Linked DNA regions of Notamacropus eugenii. The protein of the gene in region 1 purifies or fractionates together with the protein of each later gene. This does not show direct contact. Links are inferred from orthologs where the notes say so. Each region holds a gene or a part of one and is shown on either strand. Other genes may lie near its edges. The genes, in order: ETV6 and LRP6.

What was found.
Region 2: the proteins of ETV6 (region 1) and LRP6 purify together in Homo sapiens (affinity purification with mass spectrometry; 3 studies listed by BioGRID and IntAct, counting the BioPlex papers as one, with this or other methods). This does not show direct contact. The link is inferred for Notamacropus eugenii from reciprocal best matches to the Homo sapiens genes ETV6 and LRP6.

The regions. Positions count from the first base shown.
Region 1 is NC_092874.1:199,377,244-199,389,338, forward strand, and holds the start of ETV6 (transcription factor ETV6), read right to left. Parts: upstream 5,217-12,095; 5' UTR 4,604-5,216; coding exon of another isoform or gene 4,571-4,603; intron 1-4,570. UniProt on the Homo sapiens protein: Transcriptional repressor; binds to the DNA sequence 5'-CCGGAAGT-3'. Plays a role in hematopoiesis and malignant transformation.
Region 2 is NC_092874.1:198,767,666-198,780,150, reverse strand, and holds the start of LRP6 (low-density lipoprotein receptor-related protein 6), read right to left. Parts: upstream 4,663-12,485; 5' UTR 4,599-4,662; coding exon 4,544-4,598; intron 1-4,543. UniProt on the Homo sapiens protein: Component of the Wnt-Fzd-LRP5-LRP6 complex that triggers beta-catenin signaling through inducing aggregation of receptor-ligand complexes into ribosome-sized signalosomes.

The DNA.
Region 1 (12,095 bases):
TAGTAGTGGCAGAAGCATACTATTATAAATTTATGTCTAAGGCACAACATATCGTCAAGGGGGTGGAAAACGTATACTTGGGTTCTAATCCCAAGAAATATCTTTTGGTGACCTCAAAATTTAGCACAGTACCTGGCACACAACAGGCACTTAATAAATGCTTATTGACTGACACCGTTCAATCAATGTTTTGTATGTCTTGTATATGTCTAGTTATCGGTGAGTGTGTGTGCATGTGTGCATGTGTGTATACGCATCTGTCCTCCTTTAGAATGAGAGCTCCTTGAGCCCAGAGACAATCCTTGTTTTTTTCTTTCCTTACAACTCAGTAGTAAGCTTAGAGCAAGTGCTCAACAAACACTTGTTGACCAAACAGATGGCCAGCAAACTGCTTAATTTAATTGTTTCTAGGCCTCCATATCCCCAACTTTAAAATGGCTTGGATGGACAAGGTGACCTCTAAGGTATCCAGCAAGTTTGAACATTCTAAGACTCTTCCTCACCAAGAAACCAGGAAAAATTAAAGCAGCCTGACAGCTCGTTATTTCTCAAATTTCTCTGTTGGCTTTTTATTTATCCTCACCCAATTTCCTCCCTTAATAATCAAAAGAAAGCAGATTTTAAATCCCAGTGCCACAAAGCAGAATCATAGCATGGTCCATCTTTGGAGATCATCGTTGAGAAAATTCCTGAGTCAATGAGGGTGGTGTGTTACACCTAGAGGTAGAGAGCGCACACAGAAAGCATTAGTGACTTAACTAGACAACAGTCCCATTACTTAAATGGTCTCCTGGGTGCTGGAAAGACAGACAAAAGACAGTGACAGACAGCAAGAGAAACAGTGAAAAGAAAACTCTAAAGATTGGAAGGGGCCCAGTTATAAGGAATTTTAATGCCAAAAGAACAGAAGACTTTGTATTTGATCCTAGAGGTAATGGGGAGCCACTGGAATTCATTGAGTTGACATGGTCAAGAAAAATCATCTTGGCAGCTGAATGGAGCAGGGAGTCCAGGTAAAAAATAACTACTTTTTGGCCATATCTACAGAGAATGAGACCTGAAACTAGTGATGGCTATATAAGTGAAGAGAAAGGAACATATAAAGAGATGTTGGGAGGGTAGAAATGATAAGATAGGGCAATGGATCAGATATAGCATTTTTAAATTTGCAAAGTATATATTATTTTATCTGAGTCTTCCAACAATCCTGAGATTAAGCACAACAGCTATTATTAATTATCCCTATTTTACAGATGATTAACCTGAGAGGCAAAGAAGATAATCATGGTCACACATAGGTGTCAAAGAGAATCTGAATCTGGGTCTTCCTGACGTTCCACAGCACTCCGTCTCCTCTTAAGATCCCATGCTTGCAACTGTTAAAAGAGTTAGATCGGTGCCATAGAACAAACCTCTAAGTTTCCCTCAAGCACTAAATCTATGTTCCTATGGCCTACTGAGGCTAGGAGGCAATCTGACTTGGAGATAAGGATTCCAATTCTATCTCAGTTAACTTTCCCCCCCAACCTTGGACAAGTCAATTAAGCTAATAGTACTATTACACACTATTTTACAGTAGGGCAGAAAGGGATCTTTACTTGCTAAATGAGAAAATGCTGGTAAAGTACTCAGCATCAAAGCCAGTTAAGAGATGTGCATTAGCAACCACCACCTAGATAAGAGATGACTCCAAAAGTGTTGCTGACTGGCAGATTCAGAAACACTCATGTGGAGGGAGGCCTCCACCTCAAATTCTACTATACTTTCCTTCCAGTCACAAAAAAAAAAAAAAAGTTTCTCAGTAGCAAACAAAGCACCTTCCTAAACTGGAGGGCTCGGTTCAGCCCCTGTCTTTCCAGGTTTTCCCACACCAGTTGCTGAGGGATTAACTGTGCCAACTGATTTACCCCTTGTGGAAGAGAATAAAAGAAAGTAAGGATCACTGTTGGGAGGGAGGGAAGGAACATGAAAGATACTCTCCCACACGCAACAGAAGACTCCTCTACACAACACACAGGCTCTGATCCATCAGACAGTCCTTCAAACATGTTTGCCATTCATTCCCCACTCCGAAGAAAAGTTTGTTGTTTACTGGAATCTGGAAGCCATGCAAAGATTTTGTTTGTTGCCAGCAAAAATACTTTATTATGCAGTAACTGTATCACATCCCAAGAAATGAAACATTCCCAAACCCTTTCCAAATAGTCTGATATAATTTCAGTTCTTGACCCTACAACTTTTTAAAATTCTTGATCAAACCAATGTGCAAATGTGAGAACTTTTCTTGAACATCTAAAAGTACATACCATCTAAGCAAATTATATATACATAGATATATATGTATATATGTACACACACCCACCAATAAATTTTTTAAAGATATCCTAGATTACAAGTCCACCTATTCCTCTATCATAAAGAGTGACAACACCTGATTAAATGCCAGAGGAAGCAATAATAAGAATAAAATTGATATTGAAACTATGAACGTGATTTCTAAGATGCACTTGAAATAATGTTTGGCTTTGGGTTTGGGCTTTGAGTTTTTAAATTTTTTCTTTCTTAATTGCAGAATTTCTTTTCTATTCTGGTACAAAGAATAGTAGTCCTTCTGGCTCAGGCACAACCACCATCTGAGCTCTTGTTTACAGTGGATATATGCAGTCTCTATGAGAGAAATCAAGAAAAGTATTTTCCCCCTAAAAATACTGCCCTGTTAGTAGTACAGATTTTCCTCATGTTAGATTTATTGCTATAGGGCTAAATATAATTTGCTGATTTAAAACCCTATTATTTAGCTACCTCAGTTTGTGTTATGAAGCATGAAATAAATTAGATTATCCATACCACAATATTTCACAAAACACAGTGGAGAATTGAATCTGCACAGTAAAAGAAATGTGCTCTTAAAAGTGTGAGAAGACTTAAAAGTTCTTTAACTGAGGTGCTCCAAATCTACAACTACAACCACACATGAATGAATGAATATCTAAGACCAAAAAGTTTCACTAGTTATTTTTGTTAAGGCAAAAAACCCCAGACCTGCTCCCACCAAAACAAATAACAACAAAAACAAATTTAAAAATCACGATCCAAGTACCTCTCTGTCCTTAGCCCAATCTAAAAACTCATGAAAATTTAACTTCCTCCTGAGAGGGAGTCTGTGTGTGTGTATATATGTATGTGTGTGCGGTGTGTGTATATATGTGTGTGTGTGTGTGTGTATATATATATATATATATATATATATATATACACACACCGCACACACATACATAGCATAAGAAAGAATACTGACTTTCTCAACAGGTAACTCCTAAATAAAACTCAGCACCTCAATACGGAAGGAGGGTTTCAGAAGCTTTTCCTGAAGACTGTGGAAACTGATTTTTATATTTCTTTCTTTTGTACCCACTTAAAACGAGGTGTTGCTATCACATTAAAACAGGCCAAGCTACCAGCAAACTTCCTTATAAGAAAGCGAAGGAACTGCACAGGAAGGAGTCTGCTCTTCCATGCTCTCCTTAAAGTGAGCCAATCAAATAAATAGACGGATGGAAAAAAGTGAGTGGGGAAATGTACAGCCCTTCTTGTGTTCCCACATGATCAACTTTTCAGAAGCAGCCCAGAACAGTACCACCAACCTTAATTACACCACTACTCAGAGTGAGTGCTGTGTTTGCAAACACACTCGGCAGCTGCATTTACAACTCCGATGGGGAAGTGGGGGGTAAGGAATGGACAGAAAACAAGGAAAATTCTACAGTTTAAGATTTCCTCGGTGTCCTGTCAAATACAGAAGGTCATTTTAGCTATGGCAGCTTCCATAGCTCTATTTTCCTTATGCACCACAGGAGTTATCTACTTGGGTCCTACTCAACTTTCCTATGCACTGATCACAAACTACTTCATTCACCTTAAAAAAAAAAAGTCAAAAACATTCATTGTGCAATGCTAAGAAAAGCTGCCACTAGGATTCTTTCTCCAGTGCCTTCAAAATTGCAGCTTTTAATTACAATCAGAGGGAAGAGAACGTTCAATCCTTGGAAAAGAAAGGATTCAACCAGCATTACAGGGTAAAGAAGTTTAGGTTTTTTAAAGAAAGAGAGAGAAAATCACCCTTCTCAGAATAAAAGTTAATTTCCCCCCGTCCACATGTTAGGGTTACACATACAGAGGCAGGGTTTTTAAAAGCAGCACTTATCACTTGAGGGTGTTTTACAGTCCAAAAAACAAGCCTGGCTTTTTTTTTCTTGACCAATTGTGACAAAGCTTTTCATTGTCAAAAAGAAAGGGGGAGGGGGGAAAGAAAAAACAAGGGGGGAAAGGGAGAAGGGGGGAGACAAACAGCAAGGTTAAATTAAAGGGTATAGGCGGCAAGCTGCATCTCCTTCCCTTCAGCCCCAGAGATTGATCGCGAATGGAACTGCAAACGAACCCACTTTTAAGAAACCAGCAAACATTGATTTCCCCCTCACCCCCCACCCCCGGGGGTCGAGCCAAAAGGTTTTTTTAAAACAGGGAGGAAGAGGAGGAGGAGGAGGAGGAGGAGGGGGAAAAAGATCTTTACCTTAATGGTACACTGAACTGGAGTCTCAGACATGTCTCACAGCAAGAGAGATCAGGAAGTTCTCAGTTTTTTTCCACTTTCCTTTCCTCTTCCCCAACCCAGAAATCCTCCAAACAGCCAGCCAGATGCGATCATTTAAGAAGTTTCTTCAACCATCTTCACCAACACCACCTTCCCCCCCAAAAAAACAAACCCCGGGAATCTTGCGGCTTCTGCCCTCCAGCAGAAGAGGCAGCCTGGCAGTTCTTTTCCGGGGGGCTGGGAAAAAGAGGTCGGGGTGAGGGGGGGAAGAAGGGGAAGAGAGGAGGGCTGGGGTCAGGGGACCTCGGAGGGAGGTGTATTTGGGTCGGCTGGGAGCTAGTCTGGTGGATGAGACTGTTTATCTGGGTCTCTCTCGGGCTTGTCCGTCCGTCCCCCCCCCCTCCTTCTCCTCCTCCTCCTCCTCTTCCTTCTGCCTCCTTCCTTCTCTCCCTCCCCCTCCTTCTCCTCTCTTCTCTCTCAATGTTTTCCTTCCTGGAAGAGAGAAACTGAAAGGCGAACTGAGAAACCTCTATGCTCATTGATCTTGAGAGTTTCGGTGCTGAAACTGACGTGAATTCCCAGCAAAGAGCTCAGCCTCTTAAAGGAGCCACCAGGAAATAAAAGCTCAGGTTACAGCCAGGCATCAGGGAAATAAACGCAGGACGGGAGGCAGGCGGGGGGCGGAGGGGGTGGGGTGGGGAGGGGGGAGGAGGGGCTGCAGATAAAACAGGTGAAAGTGTAGAAACTAAGAGGAAGGAGAGCGCCCAACTTCGAAAGGCCGATGCATCCCTGGGGGGAGGGGAAGAGGAGGAAATAAGGAAACCAGCAAAAGGAAATAAAAAATAGTACGGGCTTAGCAACCCTTTATGCCCTCAGATTTTTTTTTAGTCTTGTGCCAACGACTGTATCCCATAAGTAAAAATAAAGGGCATTTTAGAATGTTAAATTGATTTTTTTTTTTGCATTCGGAAGCTACAGGATTTATTAAAACCCCTGGTCCCTTGGAAGCAACGTTTAAAATGCAGGAGTGGTTGGGTTTTTCTTCCCCCTATACGCCAAGGCCATGGTAAAAAAAATAAAAAACCCGGGATAGTCTTTTAAGGATGAGAAGTCTAAACGAGGAAATAAAACAATAGCCTTTGTTCTCCTAGACCGCTGCCTCTTTAAGAGAATCTACCAGGAAATGGGAGATCAGGTTGCAAACTGAACACAGGGAAATCTGGAGAGAGCCCGGGAGGGACAGTGGAGACAAAAGCACTGGAGGCTGAGCCAGAATGATGGATTAGGAAGATAAAGTCGGCTAGAAGATAAAACCAGGAAGATTTTTTTTTTCTAGGAAAATAGACCTACTGGAAAGGAAAGACGTAGGCTGATTTGAATTCAGAGTACTGGGGGAGGGGACCCCTCTAACGAAAACTGCATTCAAGAGAAGGAAAGAGTAGCCAGTTATCAAAGGCAGTTTAGTTCCCCTTCCTTTTCCTCAACCTCCTCCCCTTTTGAAATAAATTGCGTTCAGTGAGTGCTGTCCTTTTAAAGAAACAGCTACTTCCTAACGACTGAAATGTGCTGCAGGACTACAAAGTTGGCAGGATGTGTTCATGTAGATAAGACAGGAGGAAAAAGGAAGCACCATTCTAGAGGAACTGATCCTAAAAAAAATAAAAACCCTTTATCCTTAGGACTTTCTTGAGGATCTTAAGGTAGAAGATGATCTCAGGCAGATTGGGGGGAGGGGAGAGGGAGAAAGGAATCCTGTGAATTATTAAGAGTATGAACTTTACAATTACCTTGTTAAGCACCTTCCAGTTGCAAAACCTGCTCCCATACATTATATTGTCTGAGCACTTCAAATGGGAAGCTGCCATTCCTCTGAGCCAATATGCTCATGTACCCAACTCACCTTTTTTTTAAGTATTAACAGTGGAGGCACCAAGATAAATCTTTAGAGGCCTGCTGAAGATGTCATTTTTCCAAGGAATTAGTGAGCAGGCCAGGAAGATCACTAGACTAGTAGGTGAGGAAAAGACCATTCACAGATCATACCTGTATTTCAACAGGCTTTTAGGATCATAAAGCTGACAAGTATGAACATCATGAAGAAACCAAGGTCTTATAGAAGTAATGGTAATAACTAGTGGAGTTATATGAACGTAGGTCTTTTGGCTTGAAACTTAGTACTTTTATACTATACTTATCTCTGTTTTCCCCAGTTTTCTGATCTTGAAAGAGAAAAATAATAATAGTAGCCACCTCGCAGGACTGTGTTGAGGATCAAAATGATATGATTGTAAAGTGCTTAACGCCGTGACTGGCATATGCCAAGGACTGTATTATTGTTACTTCTTTAATTGAATATCATTGCTAAATACCTGATAACTCTAAAATGGATTTAAAATGCTAAAGGTTATTAGGTTAATAATTTTTATAAGGGATAATTTGGAAATTCAATTGACTGAATTGATGTCATCTGAAGTTTTGTTTCATGTTTTAAATACATGCTATTGTTTGTTATAGCATTTCTAAATTCTCTTATATTGTGAAATTTGAAAAACCATTGTAACAGATATGCTATTAGATGAAATAACTTTTTAATCTAGATGTTATTAGATTATAAATTGGTCTTTTAAAAGGATGATAAAAAAGAAATATTTGAAAACTGTTAAATATTTAATGGAGTATATTTTGTCATAAAACACATAATAATGTTTACTATAATAGCAAATTTTCATTTGAAAATTTTTGGCTGTTATGAAAGTATATAGGGTGATTCAGAGATGTAGCTTCCACATATTAATGATGAGTTAACTCTTAGGTATTTGCTGTATGTCTGAAACCCCAGAATATGGGTAGTTTTAGTTTGTAAAGAATAAATGAAATGTTAAGTGTTAGGGAAATATCAGAAAAGTTATTCAAGCCCTAGGTTGTATCTATGAAAGTTTACTATTTAAGAAAATTCTTGGGACTGTAATTTACTATTGTTTTGAACTTCGATTACAGGGATAGTTGTCTGAATTGTCAGCCTAGTAACTGCTAAAGTTACTGGATGTCTGTGCCCAGGAAAAAGTTTGGGGAACAACCTTGGCCTGGTCTTAGATAGGATCCTCCTGACTCTGTTTCCCCATTGTGTTATATTCCTTCTGAAAAAAGAAGTTTTCCCACCTGGCTAATTCTGAGTCTTGCTTTTAACACCCTGTGATTTCATGATTAGATGTCAGATATGACTCATGCCTGGAATCAAACAGAATTAAGGAAGTTTTCCCCTTCTGTTATGATATATGACAATGTTATAAATATGTCCCTCTTTTTCCTTTTATAGCAAATTTCTATAATCAAGCATTTTTGTAAATACAATACTAAATCTATTAAATGATAGGAACATCTCTGAGTTACTATCTATCTAACTGCATCTTGCAATTTTTAAACCTGTATTTATGACCAAAATATAATGTAGGGATGCTATCCTCCTAAAGGGGTAATGATTAGACAAAGTAACAAGACAAAGATGTAACAGTTTTTCTAAATAAATGGAATGGTAAATTTTGAAAAAAGCAACAGAATTAGAATTATTTTCCCAATTCTAAAGCATCTGTCTAATAATTAAAAAGGCAGAAGAATTCATCTTACAGTTTGACCTTCATAAATTTTTAAAAAGTATTCTTATATCAGGTACAGGATTTAAGTAAGGATAGAAACAGCAAATGGTATATAAACTGAGATTCTCTGAAGTTTCAAAATTGGAGAACCAAATTTAAGTGATTGTACCAAACTATATTAAGTCACAATTATCTAGGAACCTCTAGATCATGAACCAGAAAATCAGAGACCCTTTTATAGATGTCCTGAGAATAAAACCTATTGTACAAGAAAAGACGTTTCAGGACCAGATAACTACATAAGACATCTGAAACTCAAAATGTGCTGGTTAAATGGATATTGAGAATGGATCACCGGGATACAAGCAGACCTGATATTGGTTCATATTGGTGTTAATTCGTGCATTGCTTTGGTCTTTTGTTTCATGATATTTATGTCTAAGTTTTCTTGGTGACGTATAAATTTCTCCTTCTCAAAACTAGTCCATTGTGAGCTCTCTAAGTAGTTTAATCTGTAATGTGACATTAATGTAACATGACAATGTAATTATGAGTATGAATTTATAAAAAACCTTATAGCATTGTTTGAATCAAGCCTTGTTTGGCTAGGAAACTGGACCATCTCTATACGCTGTTTAAAAACTTAACTAAGGACCTACGTTATGCTGACCAGAAACTCAGATTCAAAGATTGATGCAAAGAGTTTTCTCACAATTATACATCTAAAGTATCTTATCTGAAAACTGACCCCATACTGATCAATCAGTAACTGTTTCTAAGAGCCCCCACCAAGTTCTTTTGACTACCCCTACAGTTTCCAGTTTTGTGGGTGTGGACTCCTGGATCATTTGAAGAAAGTCCTTGCTCCTTAGTGGATAGCAGAAGCCTCTGGGGACCTCAAGGTTTATCTAGTAAGGACCCAGAAGTAGCCAACATCCAGAGGAGACAATTGTTCCAAGATTCCCAGACAAAGGCTAAGTATATTATCCTAGTTTTTTCTCTTTTCCCTTTTGTTATGTGTCCAACCATCAAGGCCCTGATTCAAGAGTATGTTGGCATTTTCTCCCTCTACAGTCTTGGTTCTCCTTCCTGGGACTCACTTTGCCGATAAGCCCCCGTCAAGGAACTGACCTCCTGGGATGAAAATACCTTTCCATCATTGCAAAGGGGAAGGGCTAAATAAATTGTTAGATTTGCCACCTTAACCCCATAGCTCACCAACCTAAGACTACATCTGTCCCTGAACTGGGACATCTCATCCTGTCTCATCCTGGCCAAACTGGTCTCAAATGGCATCTTGGTTTATACCTGCCTCTCCTTTCTTGGCCAGAATAGAATGGGTTCTTTCAGACCCCCTCCCTTTGGCCAAGAAGAGGAAATGTTGGGATCCCCATGCTAAGACCACCCCTCTCTTTTTGCTTTTCTCTTTTTACTGTTGGGAGACACCTTGTTTTCCAGAGCTAAGACCCATCAAGCAAACTGTGCCCTGAGCTTAGCAGCTCACCCTCTGGATGAACTCAGCCACTGCACAATCCCAGAATCGTTTCACACCAGCAGCAGGTACCTGTGTTCTGGTTACGAAGTCCTGCTATGAATAAAACTTGTTTCATTGCTGCTGTTACTCCTCCATTGTCAGGGCTACAGCTCACTGCATAGCCACTCGTGTAAGAATTGAGCTATGTTCACACAAAAGCAATTCTCCAACTGGGGAGGTGGAGGGTGAGGGGATCATGGCATATATGTGTCTCGTTCCCTCCTCTAACAGAATAAAGAAAGCTTTTTGCTTATAACCACTGTTAGCTCTTTGATTTTATTTTGTTTTATTTTATTTTTAGAGTTAACTGTGGTTTTCATAACCTGTGTGAGTTCTCTGATTGTTTTTTAAATAGCAGTTGCAGAGCTGCTATGGCTCTTTGGTCATCTGGTCTGCACTGATATATCTTCATAGCCAAGATGGAAGCATACGGGATAGATATGGGATGGTAGACAAGAGTTAGGTGAATTCAAAACTGATTGGGCAACTAAACCTAAAGAGTATTGACAAATTCATTTTTGTTGTTTGTCCTTCATTCTCCAGGAGGACCAATGATATCAGGAGGTGATGTCTTGACTTACAAGTGAATTGCATCTAACTGAGACGGGGCTGTGCAAAGTCATAAGCCTCGCTCTGTCCTCCAGGGCCATCTGAGTCCAGTGGCAAGACACAGGTCAGGACAACTGGCAATGGCCCCTGACAGACTCATTAAGGTCAACCTGAAGAGAAGTCATTATATATTTACAAAGCTCTCCGTATTCCTAGCCTATTCAATATTGTCATCAATGGTTTTTAGGAAGACATTTTACGGAAAACTGAAAGAGATAGCTAATATATCAGTTGACAGAATCAGGATATGATTAGGCTGGAATTATGGGTTAAAACTAGCAAAATGAAATTTAATAAGTATTACAATAATTAGTTCATTTTACGTCTTGGGGCAGAATAATGGCCCCTACTATCCATGTAGTTCCCTCTTTTGCAGCTTTAGGGAGTGTATTTAAAGACTAATAGTTGTGAATTCCATCACAATTACTCCAAACTCCTGGTCAGGAAAATTCCTAACACATAGGCAAAGGTTCAAAGTCTTAATTTACATTAACGTCTATTTGACCTTTTTGTGGTTAAGGAAAAATTCAGATTACTGGAAACATTTAGAAAACTGCAGTTTATATTATAGTGTCTCTGGATAGATGGTCACCAGAAAAGAAAGTGAGGGGGAGAGGGAGAGCAGATCTTTTTCCGGAATTTCTCTTGGAAGTGGATACACTGTTGTCATCAGTCAAGCTGCCATTCTGACATGTCAGTAAGGTTGAAGACCCTCTTCCACGTCTACTTTCTCTGCCACAAATCAGTCCTAATTGTTCATTCTCCTTTCATTAGTTGCCCTGAAGATTCTTTCAATTTCAGCCCCTGTAGGAGCTCTCTGTTTCATCTGCTCTTCCAAATCCTCAGAATTTCTAATCTGTTCTAAGAAAGCTCATCCCTTTTATACAAGGTCTTTAGTGCATGACTGAGTCTCTCACACAAGAACTCTAACTGCTTTGAGAATGTGTACAGCAAATGCATTGTTGAGGGAGTTGTGAAATGATTCAACCATTCTGGAGAGGAATTTGGAATTATGCTTGCTTTCTCAATGAGGGTGGGGGTTAGGAGGGAGAGAAATAATTTGGAACTCAAAATTTCAAAAAAAATTGTTTTTAGATGTAATTGGGGAAAAATAAAATATTAAGAAAAATTTTTTTAAAAAAGGTTGGTAGGAGGCAGAGTCAAAATGGCCAAGTGAGAGCAACTACCCACCTAAATTCTAAGACAAACGTGTTCAGATACCTCTAAAAAGAGAATCTGAACAAATTTTAGAGTGGCAGAATCCAATAGGAGACAGAGTATGGCAGATTGCCAACCCAAGACAGACTAGAGGGTTGACAGGAAGGATCTGTTGCACAGGGCTGGAAGAGCACAGAGACCACAGGCTTTACCAGTGCAAACTCCACCATACCAGAGCCAAGCAGGAAGCCCAGGGTGATCTGAAGCAGCAGCAGCACTGCAGAATCTCAAACATATCAGCCTAGGACTGGAGTCTAGTGGAACTGAGTGAGAGAGAACTATAGAACCCCAGATAACTGCAGCAGCTGCACCTGAGAGTATCAGCCCACAGATTGAATGTAAGTCTGTAAGTCACCTACTTGAACTTCCAGGAGCCAAGATGGTGAAGTGATCAGTAAATGTTATCCCCCTCCCCTTGTTGACCTTGAAAAAGCCAGAGAATATTTCCCCAGGAAAAACAGTGAGATCAGCTGAAGGGGTAAAAAGTCTCTTAACTCATAAGGCTAGGAAAATTGTAAAGGGGGGGGTCCCTCTTGCTGTGGCTGAAGGG
Region 2 (12,485 bases), about 610 kb from region 1:
AATCATTTCCCCTCATCTATAAAAAGAAATGTCCTTTCCAGTCACTGACAGATATATGATCCTATGACCATTCATGACCCTTCTAAGCAATATATTCATCTAAAAAAAAAAAAGAGTATACTTCATTTGAGCTAGTAGAATCATATTAACCAGTACCATTGCTTTTCACCAAAAACAACACATGAAGATGCTACTATTTTTCATTCTTATTCCTGATTCCTTATGCCATTTATTGGTATGAAAATACTTAAGGTACTGAGGAAAGAAAAAGTATGGGTGGAATGGGGGATGATTGACAGGGTCCCCCCCTCCAAAATAATAAGCTGAGCAAAAAGCAAAAGAATGATAGATTAAAGTAAGTTTTTCACTTTTTAAACATTTCAGAAACAATCTATAAAGTGATTCTAAAGGTGCATTAATTTTGCAAGGAGGAAAATACCTTATTCTCCTCTTTCACTGATTTGACAGCTTTTCAAAATCATTTACACTAAATATCACAGGATAAAAAATGGTGACATACATATATATAGATATAAGGACATAAGAGCTAAGGTAAGACAAGCAGATAGTGTTCCAGGATTTCAGTCAGGGGTCCAGTCCCAACTCTGATGTATACAAGCTTAATCTCTCAATGTCCTAGTCAAGTCACTAAGACTGTAAATTACTGAATAATTACAGACATAAAGTAAAGAAAGTTTCCTCATTGGAAAGTTCCCTATGCTAATGAAATCACAGTGACAAATACAAGATACTAACACTGTGTGTGTGTATGTGTGTGTGCATGTGTGTGTGCATGTGTGTGCCCAACCATTAGGCAAGAGTAATTCTGTCAGTTCAACACTTTTCTACATATACAAGTTTGTTGTGTGTAAATAATACAACTCCCTGAAAAAAATTTAATAAATTAAAATCACTGTTCAAACTCAAACATTTACTTATTTTATCTATATTCATACACACATCTACTTATTTGCTGATCATTGTTTTAATATAATGATCTTCAAAGTTAGTTTCCAAATTAAAAATCTCATTTTTACTCTCTTGGTCTCCCCTTCAGGGTGTTTATTCCAAAAATTTTTTTTAAAGCTAACTTTCAACACTGATACTATACACTAAAAGCAAAGCAAGCTTACTGTAATGAAAATAACTGATGTTCTTACTGCATTTAAACATGACCCCACAATCTACAACTTGCGATACAACGGGTCAGATCCCGACAAAAAAAAAAAAATTGTTACAAACACTAATGAAAAGTACTGGGAACTGGTTTTGCTTGACTATATTTGCCACAAGAGTAAGATTTTCATTCTGTTGTTGTTTTAATGGGAGGGGGAATGGGAAACAAAATAAATGCTTGTTAACTGGGGAAAAAAATTAAGCAGTAAAGCACAGTTCTTTAGTCTAAACTATGAATAAACCCAACTTTGAAAATTTGACCAATAAAAGTCTGCAGTTATATTCAAGCTAACAAGATGCTAGAATAATTTTAATATGCAAGCTTGTTCTCAAAGAACAAATGAAATATACTCCATCCCACCCCCTAGTTTTTGCTTCACTGTTTTTCTTAGAAGGGGACTCAGTGAGGGGTAAGTGTGGGGCAGGGGAGAGAGAGAGAAGAAGAGAGAACTGGAAGAAAACTACATGAACACTGATTTAAAAACAAAAGACAAGAATAAAAATTTTTTCTCTCCCTCCCTCCTCCAAAACAAAACAAAATACTAAAACCTAAAGTTTTACAGCCTCTCATCTGGATACTAATGTGAAAGAAAAACTTGGCCAGTAATTTTATTCTCAAGCCAAATTAATATTTGATTTTAAGGAACAAATCTGTTCTAGAGAGTCACTTCTGTAATTCATGAATCAAACTTTTTCTTCTATTAAAATGAACTTGGTCATATCCATCACTATCCTTCCACCTATAAATCATTTTTATTTAAGCATAGACTGTCATTCAGGATGAGTAAAGAATTTGTTTCGGTTAGTTGCCATCTATACATTAACCAAATTAGAGAGTATTCAATACTCTGATCGGAAATGTTTCTGCATGTAGGGTATGTTTAATCTTCATGAAACAGGATAAACATACACCAATAGAGCACTAAAAGAAATTTTCCCACTACAGTCAATACTCTGGGAGGTGGCATGATGTAGTATTTAAGATCCCAGTTACAAGCTATTCACCTTTAAGGGTCATTTAACCTCTCTGAAACCGTTTCCTCACTTGGCAAATCAAGCTGTAAGAAAAAAAATAACATCTTTCATCTCTAATTCTTCCCACCCACTGAAGGAAAGCATTAATACAAACAGCAAAAAACGGTGTGACATAGAAAGAGTCCCTGTCACAAAACTTGGCTATGGGGCAGCAAAAATCCTCTCCACTTTTCAGCCAGTTCCCTCTCCCCAAATAGGGCTAGAAATAAAACCTGGCTGGGAATCAGGATCACTAGCATCATAGTTCCTTAGATGCAAACAGGTAAACAGAGACTGATCATATATATAAATATATATATATATTTTTAAATTTGAATTCTAAGGTTAGATATTGTGAATAAGTGACTATGGCCCAGAGGATCAAGATAGAAGTCTTGGGGCAAGAGAGCAAATAAAATAAGGATGAATGGATAAATAATTAAATAATAACTATATAGATATACCAAAATACAATTTTGGTATAAAAAAACAAAATCAGTATTATGCTACACTGATGAAACTAAGCCTAAAGAAAACACACAAAAAAAGATATAACAGGGACAGAAGGCCATGTAGTTAGGAAGGCCTTCATAAAAGTATTGACACATAACAGCTGGTGAACATGGGCAAGTCACTTACTGCCCCAGGCACTAGGGCACCAATTGTAAATTACAGAGGTTGCAGATAGGCATGGATGGACAGTTTCCAAATCAGAAGTTCCCTAAACCCAATGAAATCACAAATGGGACTTCAGATTAACTATAAACCTCTGTCAAAACAGAAAAGAGATTTAAGTCAAAAAAAGATAACTACTTCTGGATGCACCAAAATTCTTCTGTTTCAATAAACAACAAGAACAAAAAAGTAAAATCAATCTAAGCAAACATCTCATAGTCAGTACATCACCAACTTCTAGGGTCATCTTGTTAATTGGTCCCTGCCCTCCTACAACTTACATTTGAAGAAGCAAATGTGTCTGAGTTATAATTATTAAGTTAAATAATAGTACGATACAAGATAAACAAAGAATGTTTATCTATCCAACATATTTTCACTATTCCCTCCAAATAAATTTCTGCAAGTAGAAATTCCCAGTTAAATTCATAACACATTATCTATCTTTATGTTCCATGAAAATTCAGTAAGTTTAGAATGAACTTATTTTACTAGCATTTAAATTTTATGTTGTTATACTACCCCTGTAAATGTGCATGGGGCAGAAGGCTTGAAGTCTGAAAAAAATTGGGTCATGTGCAAACAAGAATAGTAATAAAAACTGAAGATCTAAACCATAATATCAGCACTTAAACTTATCAGCTAAATGACATCAGAAATATCACTATTTCATTGTTAATTTTTAAAAAGGATAGTGAATATCTTGCAAAGGACGTCTAGGGAGGGCTGATAAAAAACCACAAAGCATGTGTCAACTTCAGAGAACAGTTCAAAATACCAAAGAATCGTGGAATATTAGTTATTTTAAGGGCAAAGAATCTAAGAGAGTTCCTGACATCCAACAACAAATCAAGCACTCAGTGGGTGCTCCACAAATGAGCCTATGAAATGTTAGCTCAAGTTCCTGTTCCATAAGGATGACTTTCCCACTGGATGCCAACTAGTATACCTGCATGCTCAGAACTAGCCAAGGGCAAAATAGGAAACCTATCCAATGGATTCCTAACCAAAGATTAGAAAACTTCCCGGGCCAGAACACCACGACTACTTTCCAAGTGTGTCCTCATCCAGGGCTGCTATATCCCCAAAGAGGAGTTAATTTATCAATCGTAACAAAGGTTGCACAAAATAATTATGAGGACTCTAGAACGCTCTCCCCCAATAAATAGGAGTGAGGTGGGGAAGAAGAGGAAGCCCTTGCACCTAGTATTCAAACTTTCCAAAAGTAAAAAACGAACACAAAGAAATCTCTCCTCTAGGATGATTATTCCCCCTTCAACCTCGCTGCCCCAACACACGGGTACACATGCTCACACACACCGAGCGACACACGGCCAGGAAAGATCCGGGCAGGGATTCCCCCGAACGAGGGACCCCGACCCCTGGAGTCCAGGTGGAGAAAGCCCCCAAAGGGCTAGCCTGCATTGTGTCACTCCTGAACCAAAGGCTGCAGCCCCTTCTCCTGGGCCCCTTTCTCTCCTCCTTCTCCCGCAGCCAGGCCCGGCCTCTCGCCTCTTCTCCCCCCTGGCTCGCCTCCCCTGCCCCTCCCCCTCCCTCCAGCCCCCAACACACAAGAGGCACACAAACAAAAAACGATAAATCTCCTTAACTCGGGCGTCGCGGCGTGCCCCCCTTCCCCCCGCGCCCGGTCTTTCCTCACCCTCCACTGGGAGCTCACCTCTCAGGAGGACGCAGAAGCTGCAGGCCAAGAGGCTCCTCAGGACGGCCCCCATCTTCCCCTCCTCCGCCTCCTCGCTTTCTCTCTCCTCTCACCGGCTCAAGGCAGCCCGAGGAGGGGGAGGCGGCGGAGAGGAGCCGGGGCCGCCGCGGCCGCCCCGCACGGTCATGCTGCCCGAGCTCGGCCGAAAGAGAAGAAAGAATCGGGCGCCGGCCCTCGCTCGCTGCCCCTTCTCTGCGTCTCTCTCTCCCGCTCCGCTCCGCTCCCGGGAGCCGCCTTCGCCGTCCGCTCTACAGCGCTACTTCTCCCTCGGGGGTGCCCCGGCGGCGGCGGCGGCGGCCAGCGTCTCGTTCCATTCTCCAGCCCGCTCCCCCTGCGGCAGCGGCGGCTCCTCCGCGGGCTCCACGCAGCTCCTCATTCAGCCTCCGCCTCCTCCCAGCGCGGCGGCGGCGGCGGCGGCGGCGGCGGCGCAAGGATACACAGGCAGAAGGAGCCCCGCGCCCGGCCCGGGCCGCGCTCGCTCTCTCCTGCGCTCCCCGGCCCTCCCCCTCCTCTGCCTTTCTCTTTCTCCCCTCCCGGCCCCCTCCCCTTCTCTCCTCCTCCTTTCTCAATGCTCCCAGTCAGCCTCCTTCTCTCCTCCCCCTCTCCCCCAGCTCCCTGGGAGCCTCCCCTCGGCCGACATCCATTCCTATTCAGCTATGCAAACGAGGGGGCGGGAAGGAATCAGCTGGCGAGCTTTGGGACCACTAGAGATTTCTTTGGGTCTCTCCCCAGGCAGAAAGCCCACCTTGTGGGCAAAGAAGAGAAGAGGTTTTTGTTGTTTTGTGGTTACTGTTGTTTTTCTAATTCTGCTGCCGGAGAGGTGAGGGTGGGGGTGGGGAGGAGGAGAAAAGGACAAGCCATTGTCGCATTCCGATGGGATTCTTTTCTTGCTCCCTCTCGGGCTCGGCGCTCTTGGAGAAGAGGCTGTGAAGCGACCCTCGGAACAACCTTGGCGCTGGCGTGGTCGGGACTACTTTCTCCGGGCTCGGAGCCCGGCGGAGGCTGAGCTCTTCGCTTCTTTGTGCCGCTGCAGCTCCTTGCAGGTGAACTTTGCGGATCCCGGGAGTCGCGGGGTCTGGACGAGACGGAGGAAGGGAGCCCGGCGGTGACGCAATCTAATGCCTGCCTTCTGAGATTATGTACAATGTATCCAGCCTGTTCCTTGTGGATACATAATTGCTCGCCACCTCACTCCCGGCGTTAGACGGTGCGCTCCTTGACAGCAGGGACTGACTTTTACCCCAGTTCATGCCTGGCACGTAGTAGGTGCGTTACAAATTTTTATTGAGTGACAACCACTTCCAATCCGCCTTTCACGGCCTCCCCCCATCTGGGTTTTAACACCACACTCGGGGAAAGCTTCCCCAGCTCCTCCAGAGGGGCTGGTCAGCTGAGAATTGGATTCAGCGTTTTCCAAAAGGAAGAAAGGACTGAAAAACTGGTCGCATTGAAGGTGCTTTCGAGTCGTGTCTGGGAACCGAGGCAATGGAAACTCCACTGGATTTTTTTGTCCTGTGCTCCCAGAAACTCAGATACTCCTAGAGTTCAGCTTCTCACACTTAGAGAGGAGCTTCAAACTGCCTGAGAAGGTTCCCAAGATGAAAACTCCTAAGGCATGGGAAGGGATCGGAGACCCGAAGTTGGAAGGCCATCTAGTTCTCGATTTACCGAGGAGAAAACTAAGGTGCTAATATAATAAATGACTTGCCCCGAGGCCACACGGAGAATGAACTTTGGAGCAAAATTTCACCCCAGTTCCTTTAAGTTAGGGGTTCTTTACCTTTTTGTGTGTCATGGACCCTCCTTTGCTTTATCTTTCTTATTGATATTCAAAGCCCTTCATAATCTGACCTTCTCCTTTTCAAACCTTACTTTCCACTCCACCTTCCACCTACTCTTCCCAGCCACGGTTGTTCCTCACACAGGACACGAGGTGTTTTCACTGGCTGTCTCTTCTTGAATTTCTCTCTTTCCTCAGACATATGTATTCAAATTCTTGTTGGAATTTGCAGTCTTCGAAGTTGTAATTTTGTAAAATATGGCCATTGGTTCCACCCTAATAGAAATAGGCATTCTTGGAAAGGAAAGTGTGCTGAAGCCTGTGGATTCATCAGAATAATTAAATACATAAAATAAAATAACATAGTATTATAAAGGAAACATATTATTAAAATAGCTATAAAAAAATATTGGAGAAAGAAGTTCATGGACTTCAGTTAAAATTCAACTTTGTCATAGAATCAGGCTTTACCTGACAATTTCAATAGTTTGAAAGATCAGTGTATGGAGGATGCTGAATACCACTGTAGGCTTAAAAAAACAAAGCTCAGGGGATGTCTGTCAATTGGGGAATGGCTGAACAAGCTGTGGTATATGAATGCAATGGAATAGTATTGTGCTATAAGAAATGATGAGTAGGCAGACTTCAGAAAAACCTGGAAAGACATATATGAACTGATGCTGAGTGAAATGAGCAGACCCCTGAAGAACATTGTACACAGTAACAGCCACATTGTATGATGACTGACTTAGATAAGACTTAGCTCTTCTCAGCAATACAAGGATCTAAGATAACTCCAAAAGACTCATATGGAAAATGCTACCCACATCCAGAGAAAGAACTTAGGAGACTGAATGCAGATGCAAGCACACTATTTGCTCTTCGCTTGTTTTGTTTCTTCTTTCTCATGGTTCCTCCCATTAGTTCTAATTCTTCTTTATATCATGACTAGTGAAAATATGTTTAATATGAATGTATAAGTAGAGCCCATATCAGATTGCACACCATCTTCGGAGATGGAGGATTAGGGGGAGAGGGAGAAAATTTAAAACTCCAAATCTTATGGAGGTGAATGTTGAAAATTAAAAATAAATAAATAAATTATTAAAAAGAAATAAATGCTACTTAAAAAAATCAGAAAGCTCTTATTGGATCTCAGGTACTACTTCATCTTTAGTGTTCAATTTATGTTCAACTGTGCTGAGAGTCCTCAATGGCCAAGAGGACTGGATTCAGCAAGAAATCCCCCTACAGAATTAGGGTGTAAAAACATAGATCAGGAGACCTGAATAAAACTGGAAAGCTTTCCTAAATTACCTGATAACATAATAAAGTATGAGCCATTGCTAGTGCTGTATCAAATTGAAGAAGCTCCTCAGTCATCCTGATAGGATTTATACACCATTTGTCAATGGCTGAAGGCAATTGAAACTATGCTTGGTCCCATTCTGTTCTACATGTTTATGAATGACTTTGATAAAGGTATAAATTGCATGTTCAATGAATTTGCCGATAACAAAAAGCATAAAGTGACAGCTGGCACTTTATGATAGTATTAGGGATGGAAATGATCTTGAAGTGGCTGAATCTAATCAAATGAAATTCAGTTGGAATAAATGTAAAGTCTTACATGGATAGGGAAAAAAGGAACCTTTGTAAGTACAAGATGGGGGAAACATGGTTAGACAGTCATTGTTCTGAAAAAGATCTGAGTTTTAGTGGGCTGTGAGTCAGGAGTGTGGCAGTCAAAAAAACTAGAGTGTTCCTGGGCATATCCTCTAAGAATAAGGAGGTCATAAGCCTACTGTACTCTGTTCTCATCTGAAATATCAAGTTCAGTTATGAGTACCACAGTTTAAGGACATTGATAAGTGGAGAGTATCCAAAGTCAACCAGCATAATGAAAATCTTTGAGACTATGTTATATGAAGGAACTGGGTGTATTTAGCCTAGAGAAGACTCAGGAGGACGGAAAAGTGATGTGATACAGTGGAAAGATCAACTAACTTGGAGGCACAGGACCTGGGTTTAATCCCTAGCTCTACCTCCTACTACCTTTTTGAATTTGAGCAAGACAACCTCTCTGTCCTCTCCTCTCAGATTGCTTATTCTTCAGAAATTAGAACGTGAGAGAATTCAAGGGAAATGCTTTCTGTACACCCCTCATTTCCTCAATATATGTTCTAGCCTGATCAGAGAGATCTTTGGGTACTAAAGAAGCTTGGCTTTCTTCAGTTCCTAAATACTAAACCCCAGTTCCCTTTAAGCAGGTGTAATGATTTTCTAGTACTTTGTATTTCCCTGCTATTCAACTTAATAGATGCTAGACATCCTAGTATTTGAAATACTAAAAAGAGCCCTGAATAAATGTTAACTTATTTGCTGCACCAGTAGAGCAAGCTTTAAAATTTGGAGACTACCTCAGCAGAATCAAGAATTGTCATATTAAATTCTTTTTTCCTATTTGTTACCATTGGCTGTAGAAATATACATATAAAAATGTCTCAAAAAACCCATGCCAAAGCCATGAAAACATGCTCCCATTTCTATATGCTAAATATTAATCATTGTGAGCTGAATTTCCAGCTTCTCTCTCATTTCTGTCCTTTGTTCCTTCAATCAATTGTAATGTGCAAATATACTAAAACAAGGGTTTCAGAACAGAGGCAAGAGAGAATATTTTGTCTCTCTTCTGGTTTAAATGGTGAAAAAGCTACAGCTGCTTGAAAATATAGGGAAAGTTGTTAGAAATTCCATAGCCCAGGTGGGGGGCTGAATTTTCTTCTCCAGGCCAGAAACTCCCACTGTTGAATGACTGTTCTCTTTATGGACCTCTACCCAGCTATTGGTATCTATGCTGGTGAAATTAGTAGAAACCTTTTTAAATACTATTTTTAAATTTTATTTGGTATTTTATTTTCCCCAGATACATGTAAAAACAACTTTTAACATTCGTTTTTTTTTAAACTTTGAGTTCTACATTCTCTTTTTCCTCTCTCCTCACTGTTTGCTCCCATTGAGAAGGCAAGCAATTCACTATAGCTTATACATGTGTAGATATGCAAAACATATCCATAATAGTTATGTTGTGAAAGGAAATATAGACCAAAAAAACCTAAAAAAAAAATAAAGTTTAAAAAGTATTCTTCAATCTGTATTCAGACAATATCAGTTCTTTCTCTGGGGATGGATAGCATTTTTTTCATCATAAGTCCTTTATATGTGTGTGTGTGTGTGTGTGTGTGTGTGTGTGTGTGTGTGTTTGTCCTTCATTGCCAAAGAAGACCATCCCATCAGAGAAATGATGACAACTTGCACTTGACTTTATTTTGAGTGAAGGAGAGTTGTGTAGGTCACCAGCCTCACTTCTCCTCCAGAGCCGTCTGAATCCAGTGGCCAGATATTCATCAGGATGACTAGAGATGACCCAGGATGAGGCAGTTGGGGTTAAGTGACTTGCCCAAGGTCACACAGCTAGTGAGTGTCAAGTGTCTGAGGTGAGATTTGACCTCCTGACTCCTGCACTGGTGCTCTATCCACTGCACCACCTAGCTGCCCCTCATACGTCCTTTAGAGTTGTCTTGGATCATTGAATTGCTTAAAATAACTAAGTCATTCACAGCTTACAATATTGTTGTTATTTTATACACAGTACATTTCACTTGACATCAACCCATGCAAGTCTTCTTTCCAGGTTTTTCTGAGAGTATCCTGCTCATCATTTCTTATAGTACAAAAGTATTCCATCATAATCCCATACCACAGCTTGTTTAGCCATTCCTCAATTGATGGGCATCCCATCAATTTGTAATTCTTTGCCCCCAGAAAAGAGCTGCTATAAATATTTTTGTATATATAGGTCCTTTTCATGCGTGTGTGTGTGTGTGTGTGTGTGTGTGTGTGTGTGTGTATTTCTTGGGACACAGACTTAGTAGTGGTATTGCTAAGTCAAAGGTTATGCATGCTTTTATAGCCCCATGGGCATAGTTCCAAATTGCTCTACAGAATGGTTGAATCAGTTCACAACTCCACCAACCATGCATTAATGTATCATTTTTCCCACATCCCCTCCAATATTTATCACTTACCGTTTCTGTCCTGTTAGCCAATCTAATAAGTATGAAAATGTCTTAATTTGCATTTCTCCAATCAATAGTGAATTAAAGTATTATTTCATATGGCTATAATAGTTTTCATTACTTCATCTGAAAACTGAACACATCTTTCGATTATTTATCAATTGGGGACTTCTATTATTTTTATGAATTTGACTCAGTTCTCTATATGTTTGAGAAATGAGGCTTTTATGAGAGAAACTTGCTTTAAAATTTTTTCACAATTATTACTATTAACAGTATTTTCCTCCATCCTATTTCCCCCCCCCCCAGTTATTCTATTCTCTCTCTCCTGTCATCCTGTCCTTGAAAGTGTTTTGCTTCTGACTACACTTTTCTCCAATCTACCCTCCCTTCTATCACCCCTCCCCTTCTTTTATCCCCTTTCCCTCCTACTTTCCTGTAGGTTAAGATAGATTTCTATACTCAGTTGAGTGTGTTTGTTATTCCCTCTGAGCCAATTCTTATGAGAGTAAGATTCACTTATTCCCTCTCTCCTACCCCCTCTTTCCCTTCACTATAAAAGCTTTTTCTTTCCTCTTTTAGGTGAAATAATTTATCACATTCTACCTCTTCCTTTCTCTTTCTCCCAATATATTTCTCTCTAACCTCTTAGTTTTGTTTTTTAGATATCATCTCTTCATATTCAACTCACACCTGTGCCCTCTGTCTATATATGCTCCTTCTAAATACCCTAATAATGAAATATGTTTTAAAAATATCATATTCCCATATAAGAATGTAAACAGTTTAAATATACTATATACCTTATAATTTCTCTTTTCTGTTTATCTTTTGATTCTTCTCTTGAGTCTTGTATTTAAAAGTCAAATTTTCTAGACAGCTCTAGTCTTTTCTCAAAAATACTTGAAAGTCCTCTAGCTCACTGAATGTCCATTTTTTCCCCTCATAGATTATACTTTGTTTTACTGTGTAAGTGATTCTTGGTTGTAATCCTAGCTCCTTTGCCCTCCAGGATATCATATTCCAAACCTTCTGATTCTTTAACATAGATGTTGCTAAATCTTGTGTTATCCTGACTGTGGCTCCATGATACTTGCATTGTTTCTTTCTCTCTATTTGCAATGTTTTCTCCTTGACCTGGAAATTCTGGAATTTGACTATAATATTCCTGGCAGTTTTCATTTTGGGATCTCATTCAGGAGGTGATCTGTAGATTCTTTCCATTTCTATTTTACTCTCTGGTTCTAGCATATCAGGGCAGTTTTCCTTGATAATTTCTTGAAAGATGATGCCAGGGCTCTTTTTTTGATCATGGCTTTCAGGTAGACCAATCATTTTAAAATTATCTTTCCTGGGTCTATTTTCCAGATCAGTTGTTTTTCCAATGAGATATGTCACATTGTCTTCTATTTTTTTCATTTCTATGGTTTTGTTTTATTGTTTCTTGATTTTTCATAAAGTCATTAACTTTCATTTGCTTCATTCTAATTTTTAAGTAGAGATTTTCTTCAGTAAGTTTTTGGATCTCCTTTTCTATTTGGCCAATTCTCTTTTCAAGGCATTCTTTTCCACTTTGGCTTTTTGGATCTCCTTTGCCATTTGGTCTAGTCTATTTTTAAGGTGTTATTTTCTTCAGTATTTTTTTTGTGTCTTCTTTACCAAGTTTTTTCATGATTTTCTTACATCACTCTCATCAGAAGACTAAATCACAAAACCCATAGGCCTAGCACAACATGTTCTTAATTGGAAGTATCCAGGGTATCAATCAGTAGTTACGTTCCTATATCCTAGCAGGAAACCAAGAGTCACCCACTATACCGTAAATATATTATCCCAAGAAATTTGGCTCTAGATACAGATCTTCCCAGATTCTGAAAATAAGCCCCTCAGACCCAGAACAAGGGAAAGAAGACTATATGTGCCAACTTTCCATCAAAGACAATGAGATAGGAATATGCAATGTTATGAGCACCATAGAAAAAGCATTTGATTCAAAGTCAGAGGAAGACACAAGTTTGAAACCTGACCCTGCCATTTTCTG